4 linked regions of the Ovis aries genome follow. The protein of the gene in region 2 interacts with the protein of the main gene of each other region in a biochemical or structural test. Links are inferred from orthologs where the notes say so. Each region holds a gene or a part of one and is shown on either strand. Other genes may lie near its edges.

Region 1 (5,688 bases), about 59 Mb from region 2:
GGACTCCGGGCACAGCTGCTGTGACCAAGTCTGGCTTTGCGATGAGCAGTGCCTTCTCCTCCCGCCTCTCCTGTTGGCCAGCCTCGTTTCTCATTGTGACACGGTGGCCTCCAGCAGCTCTAGGCTCACACTGGCCTGTGTCCTGAGAGCACCCGCCCCTGGCGGCCGCTGCGGCCAAGCCTCTCCCTGCTTCCCCGGGCAAGAGTTGCCCACGGGATCTTTGTCCCCCAGTTGGGAGTCAGACTCACGCTCCTGCAGTGGAAGCTCGAAGTCTTCACCAGCAGCGAAATCCCCTGTTTCTTGAACTTTAAAAAACCGCAGTTCTTGTGAGAAATCTATCTCCATTTGTCGGATAGCCCGCCGTTTGAACAGCATGCAGACTTCCTCGCTGCCCTGTAAACACGTGCGCACCCACATTCTCAGCGGGGCCGTGAGCAGCGTCCTGTCTCTTGTGCGGTGGGTGCTGAGCTGACTCTGGGGTCAGGAGAGTTCAGCAGATGGCAGCTGAGGTCCTGGAGGAGGTCGGGGGGTGAAGACGGGGACTCTCGGGGGGTGGATGGGAGTCCTCCCTGGGCAGCATGGGGGGCAGGGCCTTGGAGCCTGTGGAAGAGGAGGCCTCCAGTTCAGGTCCCGGTGGCCGCTCAGAGGGCTGAGGGATTCAGAAAGGACCCCGGGGAGTGGGGGCCAGGATACAGCAGGCAGGGTCAGCCTTGGAAGGGAAGAGGGTCCCCTTTTCCCAGAAGGATGCGTGAGGGCCCGCTGGAGGGATGTCCAGGAAGGCCACCTGGGGAACCTGGTTTCCCTGTAGGATATGCTGAGGCATGTGTGCCAGCTGCGGGGAGGGCCTGACCCGCCTTCGTGAGCGGGAGGCGACGTGCTCAGGGCAGAGCAGGACTGGCCGGGGCCCCGCGGGTCTCGGCCGTGTGCTCCTCAGCCCTGAGGCCCCACGACCCTTCCCGGGGCCTGCGGGGTGAAGCCCTTGGTGGCAGCTGACTCCTGGAGGCCTTGGCAGCAGGGCTCTGAGCCCAGAGTCTGAGAAGCGCGGCTGTGGTGGCGCAGCCTGCACAGGCGGCCGCCTCCTCTGGCCCCGCTCGGGACTTGGAGCCGAGGGTGGAGGGTGGACGGGACAGGTGGCAGCCCTGTTCTGAGTCGGAGTCCCGCCTGGTGGGTAAGGAGGCTCAGAGTGAGCGCCAGCCGGGCACGCTGCCCTGGGGCCTGGCAGGGGAGTGACCCATGGGGCAGACAGTGGAGGCACAGAGCTGTGCTCCCGAGTTAGAGGACAGCGTGGGATCCTGGAGAGGCAGGGTCGCGGCGGGGTGCCATCCGGCCTCTGAGGGCTGGTGGCCTCCGCACCCAGCGACGCGTGTGCGCAGACAGCAGGACTCGGTGTGGCGTGGCGCCCGGCCTGCACCTGCCCGCGGCTCGCCTCCCCCAGCCTCCTGTCCCTGCGCGTGGCTCAGGTGGAGCAGGCTGGAGGCCAGGCCTTTCTCCAGTAGCAAAGAAAAGAGAAGAGCTCTCTTCCTTTGAAGTTGTTGCCTAGGATTGAACTTGAAGGAACGCGAGGTCTGATTTAGGAATGCCCGTCGCCTGGGGTGCGTCTCTCTTAGCAACAGCAGGAGGTGGGGGTTAAAGGCAGTGCTGGGGGCTCTGACCACTGCAGACGAGGGTCGCGAGTCCTGAGGCAGACGGCCGCTCTGGGCAGGGGCGGGGGCAGGCCCTGGGCCGCTGGGGTCCAGCAGGCGCCCCGTGTTTCCCTGTCGCTAGTTGGAAAATGTGCTGTAGGCAGAAATTCACTATGTGGACTTTAAAAAGATCCTGCTGTTCCTCACACTTCGCTTTATGGACGTGAAAACCGTCCTGTGTGGTGTGGAGTTTCTCACCACATGCAAAGCGGTTTACTGCTTGGATGGACTCCTCATTGAAGGTGGGTAGGGGTGGCAGGCCTCAGAGGCGACTCATGGGGGCAGAGCCCAGCGCACGTGGGCACACTGCGTGCCTGCTGTCTCCAGCAGGGAACGTGTTTCCAGCGGCCTGCGCTTCACACAGGCCTGTCAGCCGGAACTGGAAGGAGGGGGCTGAAGCCACGGGGCAGGAAGTGGCCAGGCCAAAGTGACCTTGGAGCTGACCTGAGCGCAGTAGTACGCATAGCCTCTGCTCGCGACCCTGCAGGGTGGGGCCGTGCTTTCGGACCAGGCCGGGTTTTGTGGGCAGCCTTGGGCCTGAATCCTGGCTCCCTGTGGAGCCTCTGCAGAGCGTACCACCTTCCTGAGTGTGGTCTCTGCCGTCAGACGCTCAGGTGGAGCAGGCCCCCTGCGCGCCCGGCCCCCTCAGCGCCCCGGTCTTGTGGGTCGTGACTTAAATAAACAGGAAGTGCCTGGTCGGTGCGGTGACTGCCCCTTTGGCTTCTCATCTCTGCAAAACCTTTCTCTCTGTAGCTCTGGATTTACTGGACAAAATGTTGACGTTCAACCCTCACAAGAGGATCGAGGTGGAGCAGGCTCTGGCCCATCCGTACCTGGAGCAGTACTACGATCCAAGCGACGAGGTGAGAGTCCGGCAGGGGCTGCCTGCTTGGGCGGAGGGGGAGTGCGCACGGATCTGTCAGCTGCCCCAGGCGCAGTGGCGGCCGGCTCCCTGTGGTGACAGGGCTGCAGCGGAGAAGGAGAGACCCGGGCTCTCACTGCCCTGGGCGCCAAGGTGTCAGAAGGACAGCACGCCTAGGGCCCCACACAGCGAGCCCTCCCGCAGGGAGAGCAACCGCGAGTTTCCTCCTTTCCCCCTTTTCGGGGGCCAGAGCTGAATTTGGGGTGTGTGTTTTCCTACCCCTTAAGACCTGGTGTGAGGATGGCAGGGATGAGGTCTGGGGTACCTGGTAACAGCAGCACTGAGCGTGTGAGGAGGATCTCTGACGCACAGAGACAGTGCTGACTCTCTGGTTATTTATATGGAGAGGAGATACTTAAAAAACACCAGAAAATACAAGAAACATCACTTTGTAGTCTGGTTACACGGATAGTTGTTGTTAAAATTCTGGAGTATTTTCCATCTCATTCTTACGTTTTTGTATCTAAATTTAGAAAAAGCAGGGTTCGTTCTGTGTAACGTAAATATGGCCGTTCGCCACAGTTTTCATCGGCCGTGAGGCTTCTGTTCACTGTGAGGCTTCTTCACAGACAGGCGCTGGCGTGTGCTGAGCTAAGCTAAGTCGCTTCAGTCGTGTCCGACTCTGTGCGACCCCATAGACGGCAGCCCACCAGGCGCCCCCGCCCCTGGGACGTGCTGAGCTAGTGTGTGAGCTTCCAGGCTTTGGCTCTGGACACACCGGGCAGCCAGCCGCAGCCCTCCCCACCCAGCGCAGTGCGGGGGCGCTGCCTGCTGTCGGTCCCGGGCGCGCGGGGCACACCTCCCACCCTGGGGGGCTGGTGCTGCGGGCGGGAGCCCAGAGCCTGGGTAGCAGCCCCGCCAGGGGCACCCTCATCTCAAAGTTACGCTTTATCTTCAAGCCCGTCGCCGAAGCACCCTTCAAGTTTGACATGGAATTGGATGACTTGCCCAAGGAGAAGCTCAAAGAACTCATTTTTGAAGAGACTGCTAGATTCCAGCCGGGATACCGATCTTAAATTTGTCAGGTACCTGGAGCTTTAACCGTAAATAAGTCCTGGCGAAGAAGACAGGGTGTTACCAGGTGTCATTAAAGGGGGGTTTCGTATGGAAGCTTTGCAGCCCGAGGTGTGGGGAGCCGTACAGCAGTGATGGTTGGGTTTTTTGAAGCGCTCCAAAGAGGAAACTGATCTCAGTTTTAGAGGATCTGTGGAAGGGGAGAGCACGCGGCCTCTCTCAGAGCTCGAGAAGTGAGTGGAAATGCCTGGGACAGGCCAGCTTGGGCGTCGGAGGGCAGGGGCTTCGGCGCGGTCTCTTCGTGCCCCTCCCCCAGGGTGGTCCCGGGGGAGGGCGTGAGCCGCAGGTCCTCCTGCTCCCGGTGAGCCTGCGGGTCTGTGGGCAGGGATCGCGGGTTTGACCTGGAATGCGACTTCCTCAAGTGAGACAGGACGTTAGAGGGGTGCTGGGGCCTCCCAGAGGCCTGGTGGGCCCTCAGGGCCGCCTCTCAGGGCTCGGGGTGGCAGGGGTCCCTTCCTGCCCTTCCCAGTCCAACCTGCCAGCCTCACCTTCCGGCCAGCCCGTGGCTGCGCCGATCACGCTTGGGCAGAGAAAACTGGGGCATTTAAGGCAGCGCTGGTTGGGAGGCGGCGATTCTGGGCGGCGATTCTGGCCCACCTGCCCGTCCAGAGTGGGGGCGGGCGTCCTGCCAAGAGGGGCAACAGCGTCCACTTGAACGGGCGTTCACAAGACGCATGCGTCCCGGGGTGGACCGCCGGTTAGCAAACGGCACCCGCCTGCACACCGCAGCTGCAGAAGCCTGCGTGCAGAGCGGAGACCAGCACGGCCAGAAAGAGACAGAGACCGGAGGGGGAGATGAGGGGCCTCTGGGAGGCTTCCCTGTGGGCCTCGCCTCAGAGGTAGGGGCGCCGCTTTCACCACTGGTTGCGAAGCAGATCCCACCACGTACTGTCAGTTGTGGCCAAAGAAGGGCGTCTGGGAGCGTGGTGCTGGCCCGGCCGTGGGGTGGGGTCCTGGGCAGGTCTCTGGGGCGGCTGAGGGCGGGTGCCCCGGGGCTGGAGGTGAGCCCCGTCCCGTGGGCGGTTCCGGGAAGGTGGCCTTTGCTGCAGCAGTTTCTCTGCTTTCCCGCTTTTGTGTCCTCCCGCCACTGCCGTTTCCCCGCAGCGCGTCCATGGCTCACGGAGGATCTGTCTGTCTGTCTCCCCACAGGACATGGGCCCGAGGACGGCACGCAGACCCCGCGGCTCTCCTGCAGCTCCTGACCCGCCTGTCCCCAGCCCGTCTGCGTGTCCACCTGACTCCTCTGAGCCGTCGGAGGGGCGGCTCCTGGTAGTTGTGGCTTCTGTGCTTTCAAAGAACTCCCCCGGCCAGGGTGCCGTCCTGGCCCCGTGTGCGCCGCCTCTGGTGACCTGCGGCTGTGCGTCCCTCAGGGCCCCTCCCGCCCACCTTGCTTCAGTCACTACCCGCCTTCTGCTCCGAGAGATGCAGCGGGCCCTCCTCCCCTGAGCCCTGCCCCGGTGCCCTGCCGCTCACATCTCCTGGGCGCGTCACGGCAGCGACAGCCCCCTTTGCACTCCCGCCGCCTCACGTCACCCTGGTCCCTCGCGGGCGCCAGGTGTGCGCTGCGTGCCTGGCGTGTAGGGCACCGCCTCGTCTCTACATGGGAGGAGGAGGCCCGCCTTGGGCAGCTCACCTGCCCCGTCGAGGGCACAGCACTTGAGGGACGCGTCACACGCGGCCCTGCCTGCTTGCGGGACTCCCGCCAGCAGAGGCGGCTCCCCGGGATCCGGTAAAGGGCGCAGGCCGCAGGGCGCCCGCCCGACGCCCGAGGGCCGGGTCGGGGCACACCGCGTCTCGGGAGCAGCTGCCGCGCACTTCCTTCCCTCCTGCAGCATGCCAGCATCTCAAGTCCGCCCTCCACCTCCGGTGTGACAGTGTGTGCTAAAGCCTGGCGCGCCTTGGCCGAGCGCTGCCCTGTGCCAGGGCCCGCTCACGCGTGGGGCGCCCGCAGAAGCCCGCCCGCGCCCCCGGCCCTCGCGCCGGCTGCCCCCGAGCTCTGTGCGCAGCACT
Region 2 (6,398 bases):
GCTTTCCAGGGAGAAAGCAGCTGGTGCAAAGGTCCTGAGGTGTGAGTGTGGCCCGGGTGATTCCAAGACTTGTGAGGAGATCACGGTGACTCAAGGAAGGAGCAAGGGATAGAGCAGAACAGGTCAGGAGAGGAAAGGGAGGCAGGAAGGAAAGTTCATGAAGGGCCTTCTCCACATGGCGAGAACTTTTGAGTGAAGTGAGTCAAGGGAAGATTTGGGAGCATACAATGATATCAAGGCAACCCACATTCAAGTTTTCACAACTGTCTCAACAAGATCCTTTTAATAATAGTTCAATTTTCTATTGCCATTGAAAGAAATAGCTGGCACCTGGGGCAAAATCAAATTTCATAGCATGTGTGGACATGAGTTTGGGTAAACTCCGGGAGTGGGTGATGGACAGGGAGGTCTGGCATGCAGTCCATGGGGTCGCAAAGAGTCAGACATGACTGAGCGACTGAAATGAACTATGCTATTAGTAATTATCATTTGGGGCTACTAGGCTGTGCTGGGAAAGGTCATCTATAAGTTAAAAAAATTAACAGCTCTATGTCTTTTTATAGCTTCCCCCAGAATCCAGGATCCAAACATGGATTAATTATCATGTCTTTTTAAAAAACAGCTTTATTGAAATAAAATGGACATGTCATGTAAGTTGCCCACTTAAAGTGTACTGTTCAATGAGCTTTAGTATATCTGTATAGAGTTGAGCAATCATGATCACAGTCTAATTTCATTTTATTTATTCATTTATTTTGGCTGCACTGGGTCTTAGTTGCAATATGTGTGCTAAGTCGCTTCAGTTGTGCCTGACTCTGTGACCCTGTGGACTGTAGCCTGCCAGGCTCCTGCGTCCATGGGATTCTCCAGGCAAGAATACTGGGGAAGGGTGTCATCCCTTCCTCCAGGGGATCTTCCCAACCCAGGGATGGAACCCATGTCTCCTGCATTGACAGGTGGATTCTTTACCTCTAGCGTCACCAGGGAAGCAGTTGCAGTATGTAGGATCTTCATTTGAGGCATGTCGGCTCTAGTTCCCTGACCAGGGCTTGAACCCTGGCCCCCTGCTTTGCGAGCATGGAATAGCAGCCATTGGATCACCAGGGAAGACCCAGACTAATTTTAAAACATTTTTTGTCACCCCCTAAAGAAACTTCATAACCTTTGGTTATCACACCCCACCCTCAGCCCTTCCATTCCCCCAAACATAGGCAACTATCATTCTACCTTCCAACAGGAGCACCTGTCCCGGATATTTTGTATAAATGGAAGCTTACAACCTGTGGTCTTTCGTGTCTGGCTTCTTTCGCTTACCATAGTGTTTCCAAGTTTCATCCATGGAGCTTGTGTCAGTGCTTCATTCTTTTTTATGACTGATGGGGAGACAGTGGAAACAGTGTCAGACTTTATTTTGGGGGCTCCAAAACCACTGCAGATGGTGATTGCAGCCATGAAATTAAAAGACGCTTACTCCTTGGAAGGAAAGTTATGACCACTCTAGATAGCATATTCAAAAGCAGAAACATTACTTTGCCAACGAAAGTCCATCTAGTCAAGGCTATGGTTTTTCCAGTGGTCATGTATGGATGTGAGAGTTGGACTGTGAAGAAAAGCTGAATGCTGAAGAATTGATGCTTTTGAACTGTGGTGTTGGAGAAGACTCTTGAGAGTCCCTTGGACTGCAAGATCCTACCAGTCCATTCAAAAGGAGATCAGTCCTGGGTGTTGGTTGGAAGGATTGATGCTGAAGCTGAAACTCCAATACTTTGGCCACCTCAGGCAAAGAGTTGACTCATTGGAAAAGACTCTGATGCTGGGAGGGATTGGGGGCAGGAGGCGAAGGGGACGACAGAGGATGAGATGGCTGGATGGCATCGCCGACTAGATGGACATGAGTTTGGGTGAACTCCGGGAGTTAGTTGGTCATGGGCGGGGAGGCCTGGCGTGCTGCGATTCATGGGGTCGCAAAGAGTCGGACACAACTGAGCGACTGAACTGAACTGAATGTTCCATTGTATGGATATAGCATACTCTCTTTATCAAAGGAGGGTTTGAGCAGAGGAATGACCTGATCAGAGTGGCATTTAACAAGGCTCACTCCAACTATTGTTTCAAGGAGTAGAGAATGAAGAATTGTGTCAAATGTTGATTTTAGGGAAAATGAGATGAGGCCCAAGAATTGATCTGTAATTGCTCAAATCATTTAATGAAGAAATTAGCAGAAATAGTCTGATCTGTGTATAAACACGGTTTACATATTTCGGGGGACTTGTTGCATTTCCTTTGAATAATTAAACATGGAATGCAGAAATAATAAAATAGCTAATAAGAATTTTAAATGAATGTGCACATGTAAAAGTACACGAACAATTGGAGAGTACCATTAATTTTCTAAAAATACTGGTGGTAATGGTTCTTTTGGTACACGTGAAATTTATTCCTCAGAATAATTATTCGCCTCTAAACATAATTCATCATTATGGTAATTATCCAAGATTTCGTGCCAGCTTACAGAGAGCTGGCCAAGAGAAAAATTAAATCTTACAAAAAGACACTGTCAATGTCTATGCAGATCAGGTTGCTGGGAGTTAGTTCGTTTTATTTGGGGAAGTTCGTGCGTGACATTTGAAAGACTTAGAAACTGGATGGAAAAATTGTTAAGTTATATTGTGGTATTTGTCATCTGGAGCAACGAGGTAACCAACTGGCATCATTAGATCCCGAACTGGCATAAAACACACGTATTGATTGATTCAAGGTTTGCTATAAACACAGGCAATAGTCATTAGGTTATCCAGTTCTGCGTACGAGCAACTTTTGGGGCTTGCAAATCACTGAGTAAGTGAAGGGCAAGGAAAACTAGACAGTAAAAAGGCGAGGCTCGAAAGGTAATTGTCAAAATGCACTCTGCGTTTCCAATGCGGTTCGGTGGGCACGGTGGGAGTGTAGATGAACATTTCGGAAATAAACACTGAAAGCGAAACTTCACCGGCAGGTAAGGCACAAGTCGGTTCCCCCTGGACTCAAGGAGGCAGGGGCAGTAGTGTTTTCTCCTTGGAACAAGCGGGGCGTGGGGCTGGAGGCGGGGGAGGCGGCGCGGGCTCAGCGCTCGCGCCGGCAGGGCCGGGAATTTGGAGAGGATCCCTGGTCGGGCGGCGGTGGCGCGCGGGTGCGCGTGTGAGCGAGCGAGCAGGCGGGCGGGCGAGTGCGCCGAGTATTGGCAGCCGAGGAGTGGAGGCTGGGCGGCTCCGACTCCCTGACGCCAGCGCGACCAGATCAATCCAGGCTCCGGGAGCGAGCGAGCGGGCGAGCGGGCGGGCGGAGGAAGGAGAGGCCGAGCCGCTGAGCCCGGGCCGAGGCTCGGGGAGGGACCCTGCGAGCGCAGCGCGGCGCAGCTCCCGGTCGCCCGGACCGGGGCCGCGGGGGACCCGGCTCGCCCGGCCAACTCGTGCGCCCGCGCGGATGGGCGCGCAGCCAACCCGGTAAAACGAAACAGACCCGAACCCAACTTTCCCCTCCGCCGCGTCCCCGCCCTCCCCTCGGCGCTCCGGGCTTTCCAGCGCCGCCGCCTCGGGCTGGGGCGGGCGCGGGCGGGCCGGGTGGCCGCGACGGAGCGCGGGGCCGGTGGCGCGGACTGCGGCGGGGAGGGGGGTCTCTTCCCCGCGTGGGGCGGATCGGGGGACCCCCACCCCCGCCCATGATGGCGCCTCCCGGCCGCTCTAAAGGAGCAAACCTGCCACCTTTTTCCCTCGGCGCCGGACCAGCCGGGCTGGGCTCGGGCCGCGGTGCCCCCCGCGTCTTTGTTGGGTCTGCGGTGCGGAACCGCGCTCCGAGGCTCCCGGGCTCCCGGCCCTGGCTGCGCCCGGCCCTCTGCGGCCACCCTCCCCCTCCGCCGGTTTCCCTTTCCCTTCCTGCAGCCGGGCCTGGGCACTCGGCGCGGCCCGCGGGCCCATTGTGTCCCGCGCCGGCCCGGGCGACCCCTGCAGGAGTCGGAGGGCGGCCGCCGGCGCTGCCCTTTCCGCGGAGCCGGGCTTGCGCCAGGGGGACACCCGGTGCCCTGGGTCCCTCCGCGTGCGGGGCGGGCTCCCTCCTCTGCCCCCACTAGCCTCTTGGGGGTCGAGGTCAAGGAAAGTTCGCACCGAAATTCCCTCTAATTTATTCAAAGGTCTGGCGGCGGCGGCGTGTAAATTTTTTTTTTTTCTCTTCCGCCTACCCCCCCTCCCCCGCGCCAAGTCTCAGAGTGTCGTCTCATTCCTTTCCCTTTCCCGGATTCGATTGCCTCACTGCGTGTGTGTTTGTGAGTTCGCGGTGCAACAACTGTTCATTTACTCTGCGCTCGGTCTTTGTTAAGTGTTTCTCGGGGTTGTTGTTGCGGGAAGGTGGGGGTGGTGGGTGTGAAAGAGATGTGGGCTTGTTTTTCTAGTTGATTTATATATATTTATATATGAAGGCTTCCAGGGAGAGCGTTTTCTTGATGTACTTTGGGAAGGGCTGGGGAACCGATGCCTGCAGGATCTTACAACTACAGTAGCTGCGGCTTTTGTTTATTTTGCGGCGCGGACGTTGTTTCCATGCACTTGCAAGATCGCCGGTAAGGCACTTCCCTTTCTGAAAATCCGGGCGCGTCTCCCAGCCATCTCCCGAGAAAGCATCGTTGTCGAAAGGGCTGTGACAACCGGCCCCTGTTTGTTTCCCCTGAGGTTCTCTTGCCATTGTAGCTGAAGTTTCTTGAGTAGGTGGAATGACACAGAAGTTGCCTGATTTCTCGGTGTGCTGTTTCTGCTGCTGAAACTTTGAGCACGCCGCTCGATAGCAGAATGCCTTGATTTCAGAACATTTCTCGCTCTCGTGGCCTGCCGTGGATAGCGTGCTTACATTCAGGAACACAGTGAGAAAACTGTTCTCTGCGCTCTGTTGAGTTTTCATCTTGTTTCTAATAACCGCGTGATGCTTTATTGGAGGTAGGTGAGCTGTACTGGAGCCATGATTGAAAAAGAATCGGGACCGAATCAATGTTCACAGCCCCGGGATTTTTCAGTGGTTTAAATATTTTGCATCAGTGTTACTCTGTTGGAGGGGTCAGGCCTGAATATGCTGTAACTGATTTAAGTGTTTGTGCTCTCCTCTCCCTCCGTCCTTCCCGTTTGCAGTTATTTGATATTTCTGTGCAGGTGGTGTACATTTGTGCACTATTGCAATTCTTTAGGAAACTATAACCAGGGTCTTGGGAGGTGGTTTTCTAGAGGTGGGTGATGCCAAAGCCTCTGGAGGATCCGGGCAGGATCAGGTTTCTTCTGAGGGTAGGGATTTGTCCTTGATTTAGTTTTGACCGCTCCAGCCATAGGTATGTAACAGAATACATTTTTCCTTTTTTCAGTGTCCTTTGGTGTTATACCCCTGAGGAGCTGATGACCTTTGCATTTTAGAGAATTGACAATTCTTAGGCCATTTAAAATGTTAATTTATACCTCTTGGAATTCAGTTTTCTACTAAGCTCAATGAAGCATTAAAAGGAAGTATCTCATTTTTCCAAATACATTTATTAGTTGAAAACTAAACTGCAGTTTGTAATTTTGATTTCTAGTAATTCTGGGTTTAATAACTTGGTTAGATTGGAAAAAGAATAAACTTGAGTGTAATTAGATGAGTGTATTTAAGCTGCAGTCACCGCCATAATCAAGGCCAAGTTGTGTGTGTATAAAAGATCTCATTTGTGTAGTCTTACAAGGCTAATGGAGGCATCATTGAGGCTTTATAAATAATGTAAGTTGTGTATAATGTAGAGTCTCCAGAGACGGCACAGAAAGCATCATTACCAGCCTTTTCAACCTGCTTGAGATCTTAAATTGATTTACAGCACTGAACTGGTGCAAAATGATACATCAGGATGACATGGGGTCAGCCTGTAAAAGTCTATGATGTCAGCCTATTAGTTCAGTCATCATAATTAAACCATATTACAGGGGCAGCTGAGCAGGAGTCTGGCGTTATCCTTCAGATATGGGTGGTACATGGATTCTGTTTATAGCGGAAATGCGGAACTGGTGAGGAACGCTCGCATTTCTGGAAGAGAAGAAAGGCTTACAGAACTCTGAGTTTCTGAAAAGAAGATAAATTAAGGGATGTTAAGTCTGCGTTAAGCAGCTTTCCATTTGGTAGTGGACAAGCAGATGCTTTGGGGGTGCTGATAAGGACCTTTGCAGCTCTGATCCCTGCACTGAATCATGCTTCATGTGAGCTTGAATTTAACTTGGCCTAAGGGACCTTCTAAAATATCAGAGAACCACATACTTCGCATCTCTGATCCTTAACATGGAGTCGCACTATATTGATGTATCCGCTGGTATGTTATTTCTTGAACTAATCAGAGTTACCAGCGCTCTACTGGAAACAGAGAC
Region 3 (4,634 bases), on a different chromosome or scaffold from region 2:
AAGGCTGGACAGGGCTCTGGGTCACCCTGGCAGCTCCAGTGGGGCAGTGGGGTTGACAGAGGGCAGGGGGTAAAGTGCAGGTCCAGGCTCTGGGCCCAGGACGGTTCCCTGGCTTGACCACTGTGGCTCTGGGATCGCTTGCATCCTGTCCTGAGGGTGATAGGGGGTGCGTCCAGGGCATGGCAGGTAGGGAGGGAGCCAGGCGGCAGAGAGCCTGCTGCCTGGAGCAGGCCAGACAGTGGGGGATCGGGTTTCAGCCCAGCTGTATTTTTGGCTGGATGGGCTGGGGGCCGAGTTGGACAGGCACAGCTGCCCACAGAGGGGCACCCCCTCTCCGGCACACACACTCACAGAATGTCTACTCAGGCAGGCTGCCATCCACCAGCCACCCCACAGACACTGCAGGCAGAGGGGAGTCAGGCTTCAGCCCCATGGTTAGGGAATAGCTTTGGGCTTCTGGAGACCATTGCTGAGTTTCTGTAGGGTCTTCTTGATCCGCAGCGCAGTGAGGCGAGCAGAAGGGTTGGGGTACCAGCACTCCCGCATCATCTGAGCCAGGCCTGAGAGGACCTGGGGGGAGGGAGAGTGAAGGAGAGGAGAGGAAGTAGAGGCATGGGTCAGGGACCGTGGAAAGGAAGAGGCAAGGAGGATGCCCAAGCGGACAGAAAAGTCAAGAAGAGGGAAACGAGAGTGTCGAAAATGAGAGGAGAGACAGCAGTGGTGAAAGGGAGATAGCGGGAACAGGGCAAGGATGAGAAAAGAAAGACAAAAATGGAAGAGGAAGGGAGTGGAGTGGGAAGGGGATGGAGAAAGGTAGGCAGGATGGAAAGAAGATGAACTCAGGCCTTCACGGACACCTTCCGGTGAGTACCCCCACTCTCATTCCACCCAGACCCAACAGAGGGGAGACCTGCAGGCCTTGGGGCTCTCAAATCCCCTCTCTGAGGCCAGACCCCACTGCAGAAGGCAGTGGCTCCCAGTACCTCCACCAACCCTGGCCTGGTCCACTGGACACTGGGAGATTGGGTGGTAGGTGCTGCCCTCAAAATGCATGTGTCCAAGAAGCTCAGTGGTCGCAGAGTGAGCCAGCCTCACCTCTGCCTTGGAACTCAAGCCAGTTCCTGGCAGGGACTGTATGTGTGTGTGCATAGGAGTGGCTATTTGTGGCTCTGTAATGTTGTGCAGAAATTTACTTGGGTCTGTGTATATATACATGTATACACATGTCAGTGTTCAGTCATTCATTCCATAAACATTGGTTGAGTACCTAGTGTGTGCCAGGCACTGTGACAGGGAACAAGGAGAAAAGTGCCAAGAGAGAAAAAAGGTCTTTTTCTCTGTCTTCATGGGGCCAACAGTCTGGTATATATATGCATGTGTGTGTACCTGTGAATGTGTACATGTGTGTTTGTACAGAAGTGTGCATATGCCTATATTTGCCTATATATACATATATGTGCATTCTATACAAAGTATGTGGAGTGCTTTGAGAAAAAAGAACAACTAACTTCACAGCAAAAAATAGCAGAGAACCTCTGTCTTTGCAGGCAAGGTGAAACATTCTAAAAAAATCCCAGAATAACTGGAGCGTCTCTGGAGGTCCACAGGCAGGAATGTGGGAGGGAGTACCCAGAGAGGTCCCCTGGGATCTCTCCCCTAGAGCCTACCCAGGGGAAGCAGAGGCCAGACATGAGTTCCTCAGCCCAGAACCCCCAGTGCTGAGCCACCACCCCACACCATCTCAGCACCCCCAGGGGCCTCACCGGGTCTGCAGCCAGCCGGTTGGGGATGGTGGGGGTCTGCTGGTCAACACACACCACCTTCTTCATGTCCTCAAAGCTGGGGTCATTGGGCACCACATCATAGAAGGGTGGCCGGTAGTCCTCCACGATGCCTAGGGATGTAGGACAATGGGACAGTCACTTGGGACCACAAACACGTCCCATACCACCCAGAAGTGAGCCTTGCCCACACTCAGTCCCAGGGTCCAGGAAACCAGCTGCCTGCCCATGCTACCTCTGAGAGGGACACCATAATATAATAAATATATTTATAAACAATAATTACTGCCATTTATCTTACACTTACCAAATATGCCAGGCATTGTGCTATAAAATGCACAATCCTATTAGTCTTCACAGCAACCTGACCACCCATTTTACAGATGAAGAAACTGATGCTCAGAGAAGTTGAGCCCAAGGATACACAGCTTGTAATGGTAGAGTCAAGACTTAAACACATTGCATTCATAGGACAGATCTTGTTCCAGTCTTTCCACAGCTGCCTCTCACCCAGGGTCAAGGTACTGCTTCCAGGCCCCAGCTATCAGAGATGCCCCAAAATAGCTAATGTTTACTGAGCAATTACTATGTGGCAGGCACTGTCCTAACCGTATGGCATGAGATCCTCACAAAACAACCCTATCAGATGAGGAAGACTATTAGCTCCACTTTATAAGCAATGAGGGGGCTCCCAAGTCACACTAGTGGTAAAGAACACATCTGCCAGTGCAGGAGGCTAAAGAGACTCGGGTTCTGTCCCTGGGTCAGGATGATCCCCTGGAGGAGGGCGTGGCAACCCACTCCAGTATTCTTGCCTGGAGAACCCCACGGACAGAGGAGCCCAGCAGGCTACAGTCCATGGAGTCGCAAAGAGCCGGACAGGACTGAAGCAACTTAACACACACACACACACACACACACACACACTCACTCACTCACTCTCTCTCTCTCTCTCTCTCTCTCTCTCTCTCTCTGAAATTCAGGCCAGATTCAGGCCAGAGAGGTTAAGAAGCTTGTCTAAAATCACACAGATAGTAAGTGACAGAGCTAGGAGTTAAGCCCAGGAAGTCTTACCAAAGCCCATGCTCTTGACCTCCAAGCTACACTTGAGGGAGGGGGGCAGACTGCTGGGTAAGGATATAGAATGAGGAGAAGGGGAAGAAAACACATCTTCGAAGGGAAGGAGATTTACCCAGGTCCAGATCACATCCACTCACTCTCAGGGGTGGCACAGGCCTCTGCTGACCCCCTCAGCCAGCAGTAACCCCTCCCCTCATCATCCCAAGTGTGCCATCCTGAGCAGGATCTTTCTGAAGATGATGCTGGTGGAGCGGCAGTCACTGAGGCAGAAGAGGCCAGACCCCAGAAAAGCACCTTAGGCCCCACCCTTCTTCCAGCCCGAGGCTGGGGGCTGCAGCCACACAGAACAGCCACAGCCTCAGGAGAGCCCGAGCCAGCTGTGCTCCCCGTGGCGGGCGTCCAGGCCGGCCCCCGTGCTGCTTGAGCCCTAATCAGTGCTGCGCAGAGGCCTGAGCGTGTCTAATGGGCCTTTAATCAGCGCCGGGGCTGACACCAGATTACAGTGTTTATAATGCGCCGCGAATCTGTGTGGAGCTGACAGAGCTTCCCTCCTCCCCAGGAGTCTGCAATCAGCCTCCTCTTCAGCCCAGGCTGGTCCAGCCTTCCTTTCCTGCCTGTGGCTGGGTCCGAGGGGCCTCGGTTGCTTCCAGGTGCCCCCTTTACCAGCCCCAGCCTCTGGAGTTTGTGTCTGAACCTGAGCCCAGCAAGAGGGTGGTCCTCAACCTGTCAAGACTCCTGGCAGCCCCTCTCCGTGGACAGCCTCCACAAAGACTGACCAGCCTCCCTACCTGGTCCAGAGCACCACCCAGCACCCATCCACCCCAAGACTGGGAAGGCACCAGCCACAGGGCAGGCCCTCTATGGGACCGTGAAGAATGAGGTCCCTGTGCCTGCTCCTCTCCGAGCTTCGGTTCTCTGTAGCACCCGTGGTAATAATGAGGCAGGAGGGACTTCCTTGGTGGTCCAGTGGTTAAGACTCCACTCTCAGTGCAGGGGGCACTGGTTCGATCTCTGGTCAGGGAACTAAGATACTGCATGCCGCACGGTGCAGCGAAAAATAGTAATAATAATAGTAAGGCATCAATAAGCAGGAAGTGCAGGCACTATTACATCCTGCATTTCTGAGGGAACAAGGACCAAAGAGGTGGAAGTAGCTCAGTAATAAAGAGCACTGGTCCGAAGAGTCAAAGTGCCTGGTTTCAGACCCCAGTGCTGCCGCTAGCCAGCTGTGACTCTGTGCCTCAGTCCCCCAACCTGTAAAATGGGGGTGCTGCTCTGTCACGCATTTGTCATTACGACAATTGCCACCAATATTTACTGAACTCCACTACAGTTCCAGATACTGCCCTGATTACCTTATTTGGATTATCTCAACAGCTGGAAATTATTTTTCTTCTCATTTTACAAATGAGGAAACTGAGGCACAGAAAAGTAAAGTACTTCACACATGGCAAAAATCAGGCACTGAACTTAGTCTGATTTCCCTCCGTTGCTCTTAACCACTGAAGCATACCACCTCCCTGCCAACACAGGACAATTCAGTAGGATAATACATGTACACAGCATGACATCTGGCACGTACTGAAACTCAATAAATGTTAGCTGTTATTAATATTTCTGTTGTTACCAATTACCCGAGATTTCGCAGCCAGAATCAGACTCAGATGAACCTGCAAAGGTCGCTCAGCTGAGCCAGCTGGTGAGTGACAGGAAAGGGAATTTGGAAGGCCTGACCACAAGCCCCTCAGGCCACTGGCCGGCGGAGACAGGAAG
Region 4 (6,107 bases), on a different chromosome or scaffold from region 2:
TCACCACCTCCTCTTTGCACCCATCAGAACTGGGCTGGGATGAGGTGTCCCTACAAGCTGCTGAGGATGGTGCTGGCCCTGGTGTGCAGTAAGTAGGGAGCCAGGGCGGGGGTCTCAGCCCCTAGCCAGGGGGCCTCACCTGCTGCCTCCCCCTGCAGTGAGCTCCGAGGTGGGCCGGGCTGTGTGGCTGCGCTTCTCCCCGCCACTACCTGCCTCGGGCCCACAGCCCAGCTTCATGGCGCACCTGGCGGGCGCAGTGGTGGGCGTCAGCATGGGCCTAACCATCCTGCGCAGCTACGAAGAGCGCCTGCGGGACCAGTGCGGATGGTGGGTGGTGCTGCTTGCCTATGGCACCTTCCTGCTGTTTGCCATATTCTGGAACATCTTCGCCTACGACCTGTTGGGTGCCCATATCCCCCCACCACCCTGACAGGGTCCCCAGGGCCACAGGGGCCAGGGTGCAGGACCCCAGGGCCAGCCACCGGGCAGGCCTGCATGTCCACCCTCAGTGAATGTAGTCTCGAGGCTGCTCCTTCCCGGTGTGGGCTGGTGGCCCCTGTGGCCCACTGAGTCCAGGCCGAGCCTTACACTAGCCCTGGCCACCCCCTCCCAGGCTGGAGGGACAGGACTGCTGGCCTGGGCCGGGTGGTGGAGGTCCCCAAGAGTGGCCCTAGAGAAGATCCTGCCTCTGCCTCTTCCTTGAGACTTGCAGTCTGAGCCTTTTTGAAGAATGAATAAATATTTTACACAGCATTAGCTGGCTGTACTGGGGCCCTGGGCTGGGCTCGTCTCCCCCTAACTCTGAGCAACTGTGAGAGCCCTTCCCTCCACAAGAGTGGCTGAGGGCCCCCCCCCACCCCCAACCCTGCTTCTCTGAACCCAGCATGAGGTGTGTCTGTGGGAGCCGGGAGCCCTGGGGAGGGGCTGTGGGTCTCACATTCAGGTGTCAGTTCAGCAGGCATTTATTGAGCTTCAACAGCAGCCAGCTTCCTGGTCGGCCAGCCTCCTGTCCAGAGACTTACGGCCTGAGATCACAGGGCAGGTGAGCAGGCTCTGGCCAGCAGCCAAATCACTCAGCCTGGGTCCTGCGCTTCTTGGCTGGCCTGGTGTCCTCAGCGGGGACCAGGTTGGGACCCAGGTTGGGCAGCAGGTCCGGGCACATCTTCCGCCCTACAGCCCAGGTCCACAGGGCCGTCTCCACGTGGTGTGGGGTCCACAGCCCAGATGCACTGCCTAGAGAAGGGCAGAGAGAGTCTGGGGCTCGGAGATACCGATCTTCCTACGGTCAGAGAGAGCTCTCCGTGACCACCCGGGCCGCCCGTGGTCTCCGCACCTTGGCTCAGGGCTGTTGCACGCTCCTGCACCCGGCTCAGGTAGAGCAGGTAGTGCTTGACAGTGTACTGCAGGGCGGGCAGGCCGGGCACTGCGGCCACTGCCTCCTCAGACATGAAGGCTGCCGCCTCAGGAGCTCCGGCAGCCAGTACCGCTGTGGGCAGTGAATGGACAGCACTCAGCCCCGCCTGGGCCTGGGGCTGCTGTCCCCAGCGACTCTCCTGTATCATGTATCTGGCCGTCGGACCATTTCATGGATAAGGACACTAACAGGCCAGGTTCCGCCAGCGACCCTGCCCGGGGGTGGTCCAGCTTTCCCGACTAACCCGAGGCGGTAGCCGGGCCCACGCCACGGAGGGCGCACAGAGCCATGACCGCTGCGTGCATGTCTGGCAGGAGGCGGAAGGCGGCGGCCGAACGCTGCACCACCAGCTCCGGAGAGTTGGCGGCCACGAGTTGCTGCAGGCGCGGTCGGAAGCGGCCCCTCTGTGGCCAGGTCGGGTCGGGTGTCACGGGTGGCGGCCCTCGCTGGGAGGCCCCTCAAGACTGCCACGAGGGTGAGCCCCCTGGGAAGCCCCACCCACGTGGCTGTGCCGCGCCCCAAGTGGGAAGCCTTACCGCCAGTTTCCACGCCAGCAGCCGCTGCAGCTCGTCTAGTGTCACGTGCTTCTCCGCGCGGGCCCCGATGGCCGCGGGCAGCTCCTCTCGGTACCTGGGGGAAGGCGGCGCTACGGAGTCCGGGCCACGGGGCTCGGCCCGCCCGCCCCTGCCCCCTCCGCCCTACCACCGGTCCAGCGCTTCCAGCCGCCCCTGGGGGCCCGCGCGCGCCCGCAGCACCGCCCCGCGGCACTCCAAGACGGCGGCCCAGCGGCTTGGGTCCTCACAGCTCCAGAGCCCGCCAGCCGCGGCCATCTCCCCGCGCCAGGCGAGGCCTCGGGGGCGGGGCGTCGGAGCGCGGCCGGGCGGGCGTCTGCCCGGGTGACCCAGCGCGTCGCAAACCTTGACGCCGCGTCGCGTTGCCAGAGTCCCCCTCCCTGCCGGCCCCGCCCCCACAGCGCGCCGGGGGCACGCACGGCCCCGCCCACCCGTGCGGCGGTCCGCTCCGCTGGCCCCGCCTACCTGCAGACCGGAAGTTCCGGTGGCGGAGCGCTGGACCGAGCCCGAGCGGATCGCGGGCTCGGGCTGCGGGCGCAGGGCGGGCTGGGCGCGGAGCCTGGGAGCGGAGCCCAGGCGGTGCCGTGCGGCGCCATGAAGGGCAAGGAGGAGAAGGAGGGCGGCGCACGGCTGGGCGCCGGCGGCGGCAGCCCCGAGAAGAGCCCGAGCGCACAGGAGCTCAAGGAGCAGGGCAACCGGCTCTTCGTGGGCCGCAAGTACCCGGAGGCAGCGGCCTGCTACGGCCGCGCCATCGTGAGTGCGCCCGCGCTGCGGGAGGGGCTTGGCGTCCGAGCCAGGGGAGGGGCCGAGCTGCGGCTTCTGCCGCGCGCCCTCTTCAGAACATGTCAGGCCGTGCCCGCCAGACTTTCGGAGGGAGGGGGTGGGTGCTTGGGGTCTGGGGCCAAGGCCGCGCCTTTCCCGAGCCAGTGCGGGCTGCCAGAGAACTGTGCTGGGTGGGAACCGTAGGTGTTCGAGGCCCACTGGGCTGGGGACCAGGCATCCCTGCCCCTTGAGGAGTCAAACGCGATGCTGGGGATTTCCATGAGTCCGGGAAAACTACCTTCACAAGACTCATTGGAGTCCAGAGAGTGGGCTCACGTAGGCTTCACCCTCCCTCAGAACCCAGGGGCTTGGAAGCTGAGAAAATGCTAGTGTCTTGGTTCCAACCGCGGGCCTCAAGTTGGGACGGAGTGGGCAGGCTGAGCTCACTCCCTCATGCTGGCTGGCCCGGCCTTGGTCCCCAGACCCGGAACCCCTTGGTGGCCGTGTATTACACCAACCGGGCACTGTGCTACCTGAAGATGCAGCAGCACGAGCAAGCCCTGGCCGACTGTCGGCGCGCCCTGGAGCTGGACGGGCAGTCTGTGAAGGCACACTTCTTCCTGGGGCAATGCCAGCTGGAGATGGAAAGCTATGATGAGGCTATTGCCAACCTGCAGCGAGGTGGGCTTACAGGCTAGCTGGTTCCAGGGTGCCTGGGACCAGGTGGGTGGACTGGTTGAAGTTTACCCAAATGCTCTATCCCCCAGCCTACAACCTGGCCAAGGAGCAGCGGCTCAACTTTGGGGATGACATCCCCAGTGCTCTGCGCATCGCAAAGAAGAAGCGCTGGAACAGCATCGAGGAGCGACGCATCCACCAGGAAAATGAGTTGCACTCTTACCTCACACGGCTCATTGTGGCTGAGCGTGAGAGGTGGGCTCCCCCTCTTCGAGTCACCACTCTTAGGTTAACTCTGAGGTGTGAACACAAGTGTTTATTGAAGGCCAATTCTGGCACGCAGGAGATGGAGGGAAAGGGGCCTGAATGATCCTAAGTCTGGAGTGGAGTCTGACTGCCCCTGGCCAGACCCATCTCTGAACACCTTTTGGTCAACCCCCAGGGAACTGGAAGAGTGTCAGCGGAACCACGAGGGTGACGAGGACGACAGCCACGTACGGGCCCAGCAGGCCTGCATTGAGGCCAAGCATGTGAGGGTGCCCCAGCCCGAGTGTGGGTCCTGTGTGTGCGTGCGCTGTGATGTGAGGTGCCCTGGCTCCTGCTGGGTCTGTGTCTCGGTGTCTGGGGAGGGGAGAGGGGTGTCAGGCCCACAAGTGGCTGCTTGGTTCTTTGCAGGACAAGTACTTGGCAGACATGGACGAGCTCTTCTCCCAGGTAGACGAGAAGAGAAAGGTGAGCTGCCCGTCTTCTGGGGCCGGTGGGTAGCTAGAGCAGTGTCCCTTCCCAGCCCCTGACCTGATCCAACCCTGTGTGCTGCAGAAGCGAGACATCCCTGACTACCTGTGCGGCAAGATCAGCTTTGAGCTGATGCGGGAGCCCTGCATCACGCCCAGTGGCATCACATACGACCGTAAGGACATCGAGGAGCACCTGCAGGTGAGGGTCTGTGGGCGCTGGCAGCAGGGCCCACGCGCACTGAGCAGCCCCTGACTCTGCCCTGTTGTCACTGCAGCGCGTGGGCCACTTTGACCCTGTGACTCGGAGCCCCCTGACCCAGGAACAGCTCATCCCCAACCTGGCCATGAAAGAGGTCATCGATGCCTTCATCTCTGAGAATGGCTGGGTAGAGGATTACTGAGCAGGGTGGGTGTATGGGCCACCCACCTGCCTTGCCCGGTACCCTAGTTCAGGAGGGCCTTGGGGCAGCAGCCCCTAGTTTTCTGTATATAGTTTGTGTCCCTGGATCCCTACCCTGGTGTCCCCACCCCCACCCCCATCAGTTCTGCTGGGCAACACGCCTCTCATCCTCCTTCTGGGCCGGAAAGGGGGGGTGAGGCTGGGCTGGGCTGAGGCTGCTGCCACCACCTCTGTCCCTGTAATAAAACCTGTGAGTACTGCAGGGATGTGTGCTGGTGTGCGGTGGGCTTGCCAGCCACCCCCTTTGGCTAGCCGAGGAAGGTAGAGATGAAGACGCTGGTGTCGAGGTTGAGTGTGGCATGCCACCATCGGTCCGGGAAATACAGCACCTGGCGAGGGGTTGGGGGGACATGTGGGTTGATGGGTTGGATGGGGGTCCTTGGCCTGGCTCAGCCTGGCCCGTCTGCCAGCCACTGACCTCACCAGCCTGGATAGTGCATTCCAGGGGCCGTGCAGATGGTGTCAGGGCTGGATATGTGTCCTGGAGCCAGGCCAGTGTGGTTTTGTTGGGGTGGAATTCGGGTGTCTTCTCAGGAGGGTACAGGAACCAGCGCTGGGGGTTGGCGGGGAGCAGCAAAGTTATGCTTTGTATTTTGGTCAGTGAACCCAGAGTCTCAGCCTGCACCCTGTGCTGACCTTGCGGCCATAGATCACCTCCGAGAACCCAGGTCCATGCCAGTGGAAGGGCACCCCAGAGCCAGCTCCTGTGAGGCAAGTTAGGAGCACCTGGTTACCAAGCTTAATCCTCCCCCAGCCAGCCCCCAAGTCCCTTCGTCTTGCAGGGCACCCACCTGCAATTCCAAAGCTGTAAGCAGGAGTTGTACCCAGCAGGCTGAACGGAGGTGGAGAGTAGTGCCGAAAGAGGGAGGCCCATTCGGTGAAGTTGTTGTCCCCAAAGAAGTACAGAGTGTCTGCCAGCAGAAAACAGGACACAGGGATCTCCAAGTCACTCCCCCCTACACACACCCAATGGCCACCTGTCTCGCTCACCATTGCCCATGGAGATGGGGTCCTGGGGGTGCAGCATCTGCTCCACATACTTCTCAAAGGGCAGGTCCACTGCAGTTTGAAAGGCGTTGGTCAGGACTAGTTGGTGCTGCCTGCAAGATGCTGGCAAGCAGGCTGGGCTGCGGGGTGGGGCAGCTCACCTTTCTGGTAGGAGTAGGTGTTGGCGGTGCTCAACCGGACCACGCTGTCTCCAAAGGAGGCCAGCAGCCTCTGACGGGTGCACAGGTCCCGGAACCTCTGCGGAGGTAGAGAAAGGACTTCGGGGCGGGGCCCTGCACTGGCGAGTGGTGGTCGAGAGGGGCGTGAATACTCACCGAGTTGTCTGTGAGCCCCTGCAGAATGACAGGTCTGGAAAAGGCGTAGCTAGAAGGAAGGGCAGGGTCACGGCCAGGTCTGACCCGCCCCCACCCTCGGCTCCCGCCCACACGGGCTCAAAGGGGCTCAAGGGGAAGTGCGCGTCCTCGGCGGTGCAGGGG

What was found.
Region 1: of the proteins of SMAD1 (region 2) and MAPK1, one has a biochemical effect on the other in vitro, tested with the Homo sapiens proteins (3 studies listed by BioGRID). The link is inferred for Ovis aries from reciprocal best matches to the Homo sapiens genes SMAD1 and MAPK1.
Region 3: of the proteins of SMAD1 (region 2) and ACVRL1, one has a biochemical effect on the other in vitro, tested with the Homo sapiens proteins (2 studies listed by BioGRID). The link is inferred for Ovis aries from reciprocal best matches to the Homo sapiens genes SMAD1 and ACVRL1.
Region 4: the proteins of SMAD1 (region 2) and STUB1 form a complex in vitro, tested with the Homo sapiens proteins (3 studies listed by BioGRID, with this or other methods). The link is inferred for Ovis aries from reciprocal best matches to the Homo sapiens genes SMAD1 and STUB1.

What each region holds. Positions count from the first base shown.
Region 1 is NC_056070.1:72,086,983-72,092,670, forward strand, and holds part of MAPK1 (mitogen-activated protein kinase 1), read left to right. Parts: intron 1-2,435; coding exon 2,436-2,545; intron 2,546-3,503; coding exon 3,504-3,620; 3' UTR 3,621-3,629; intron 3,630-4,827; 3' UTR 4,828-5,688. UniProt on the Homo sapiens protein: Serine/threonine kinase which acts as an essential component of the MAP kinase signal transduction pathway. MAPK1/ERK2 and MAPK3/ERK1 are the 2 MAPKs which play an important role in the MAPK/ERK cascade.
Region 2 is NC_056070.1:12,881,822-12,888,219, reverse strand, and holds the start of SMAD1 (mothers against decapentaplegic homolog 1), read left to right. Parts: upstream 1-2,796; 5' UTR 2,797-2,995; intron 2,996-3,273; exon of another isoform or gene 3,274-3,482; intron 3,483-3,549; exon of another isoform or gene 3,550-6,398. UniProt on the Homo sapiens protein: Transcriptional modulator that plays a role in various cellular processes, including embryonic development, cell differentiation, and tissue homeostasis.
Region 3 is NC_056056.1:134,402,788-134,407,421, forward strand, and holds part of ACVRL1 (serine/threonine-protein kinase receptor R3), read right to left. Parts: intron 1,895-4,634; coding exon 1,764-1,894; intron 571-1,763; coding exon 436-570; 3' UTR 1-435. UniProt on the Homo sapiens protein: Type I receptor for TGF-beta family ligands BMP9/GDF2 and BMP10 and important regulator of normal blood vessel development. On ligand binding, forms a receptor complex consisting of two type II and two type I transmembrane serine/threonine kinases.
Region 4 is NC_056077.1:1,116,693-1,122,799, forward strand, and holds STUB1 (E3 ubiquitin-protein ligase CHIP), read left to right. Parts: upstream 1-2,580; coding exon 2,581-2,739; exon of another isoform or gene 2,740-2,745; intron 2,746-3,230; coding exon 3,231-3,429; intron 3,430-3,515; coding exon 3,516-3,681; intron 3,682-3,722; exon of another isoform or gene 3,723-3,868; coding exon 3,869-3,956; exon of another isoform or gene 3,957-4,101; coding exon 4,102-4,158; exon of another isoform or gene 4,159-4,245; coding exon 4,246-4,362; exon of another isoform or gene 4,363-4,438; coding exon 4,439-4,564; 3' UTR 4,565-4,825; downstream 4,826-6,107. Other genes in the region: RHBDL1 (rhomboid-related protein 1), read left to right, coding at 28-88, 159-430; uncharacterized protein LOC101103616, read right to left, coding at 1,070-1,233, 1,334-1,486, 1,659-1,818, 1,951-2,044, 2,452-2,582; JMJD8 (jmjC domain-containing protein 8), read right to left, coding at 4,872-4,952, 5,042-5,176, 5,260-5,327, 5,415-5,534, 5,614-5,682, 5,772-5,868, 5,946-5,994. UniProt on the Homo sapiens protein: E3 ubiquitin-protein ligase which targets misfolded chaperone substrates towards proteasomal degradation.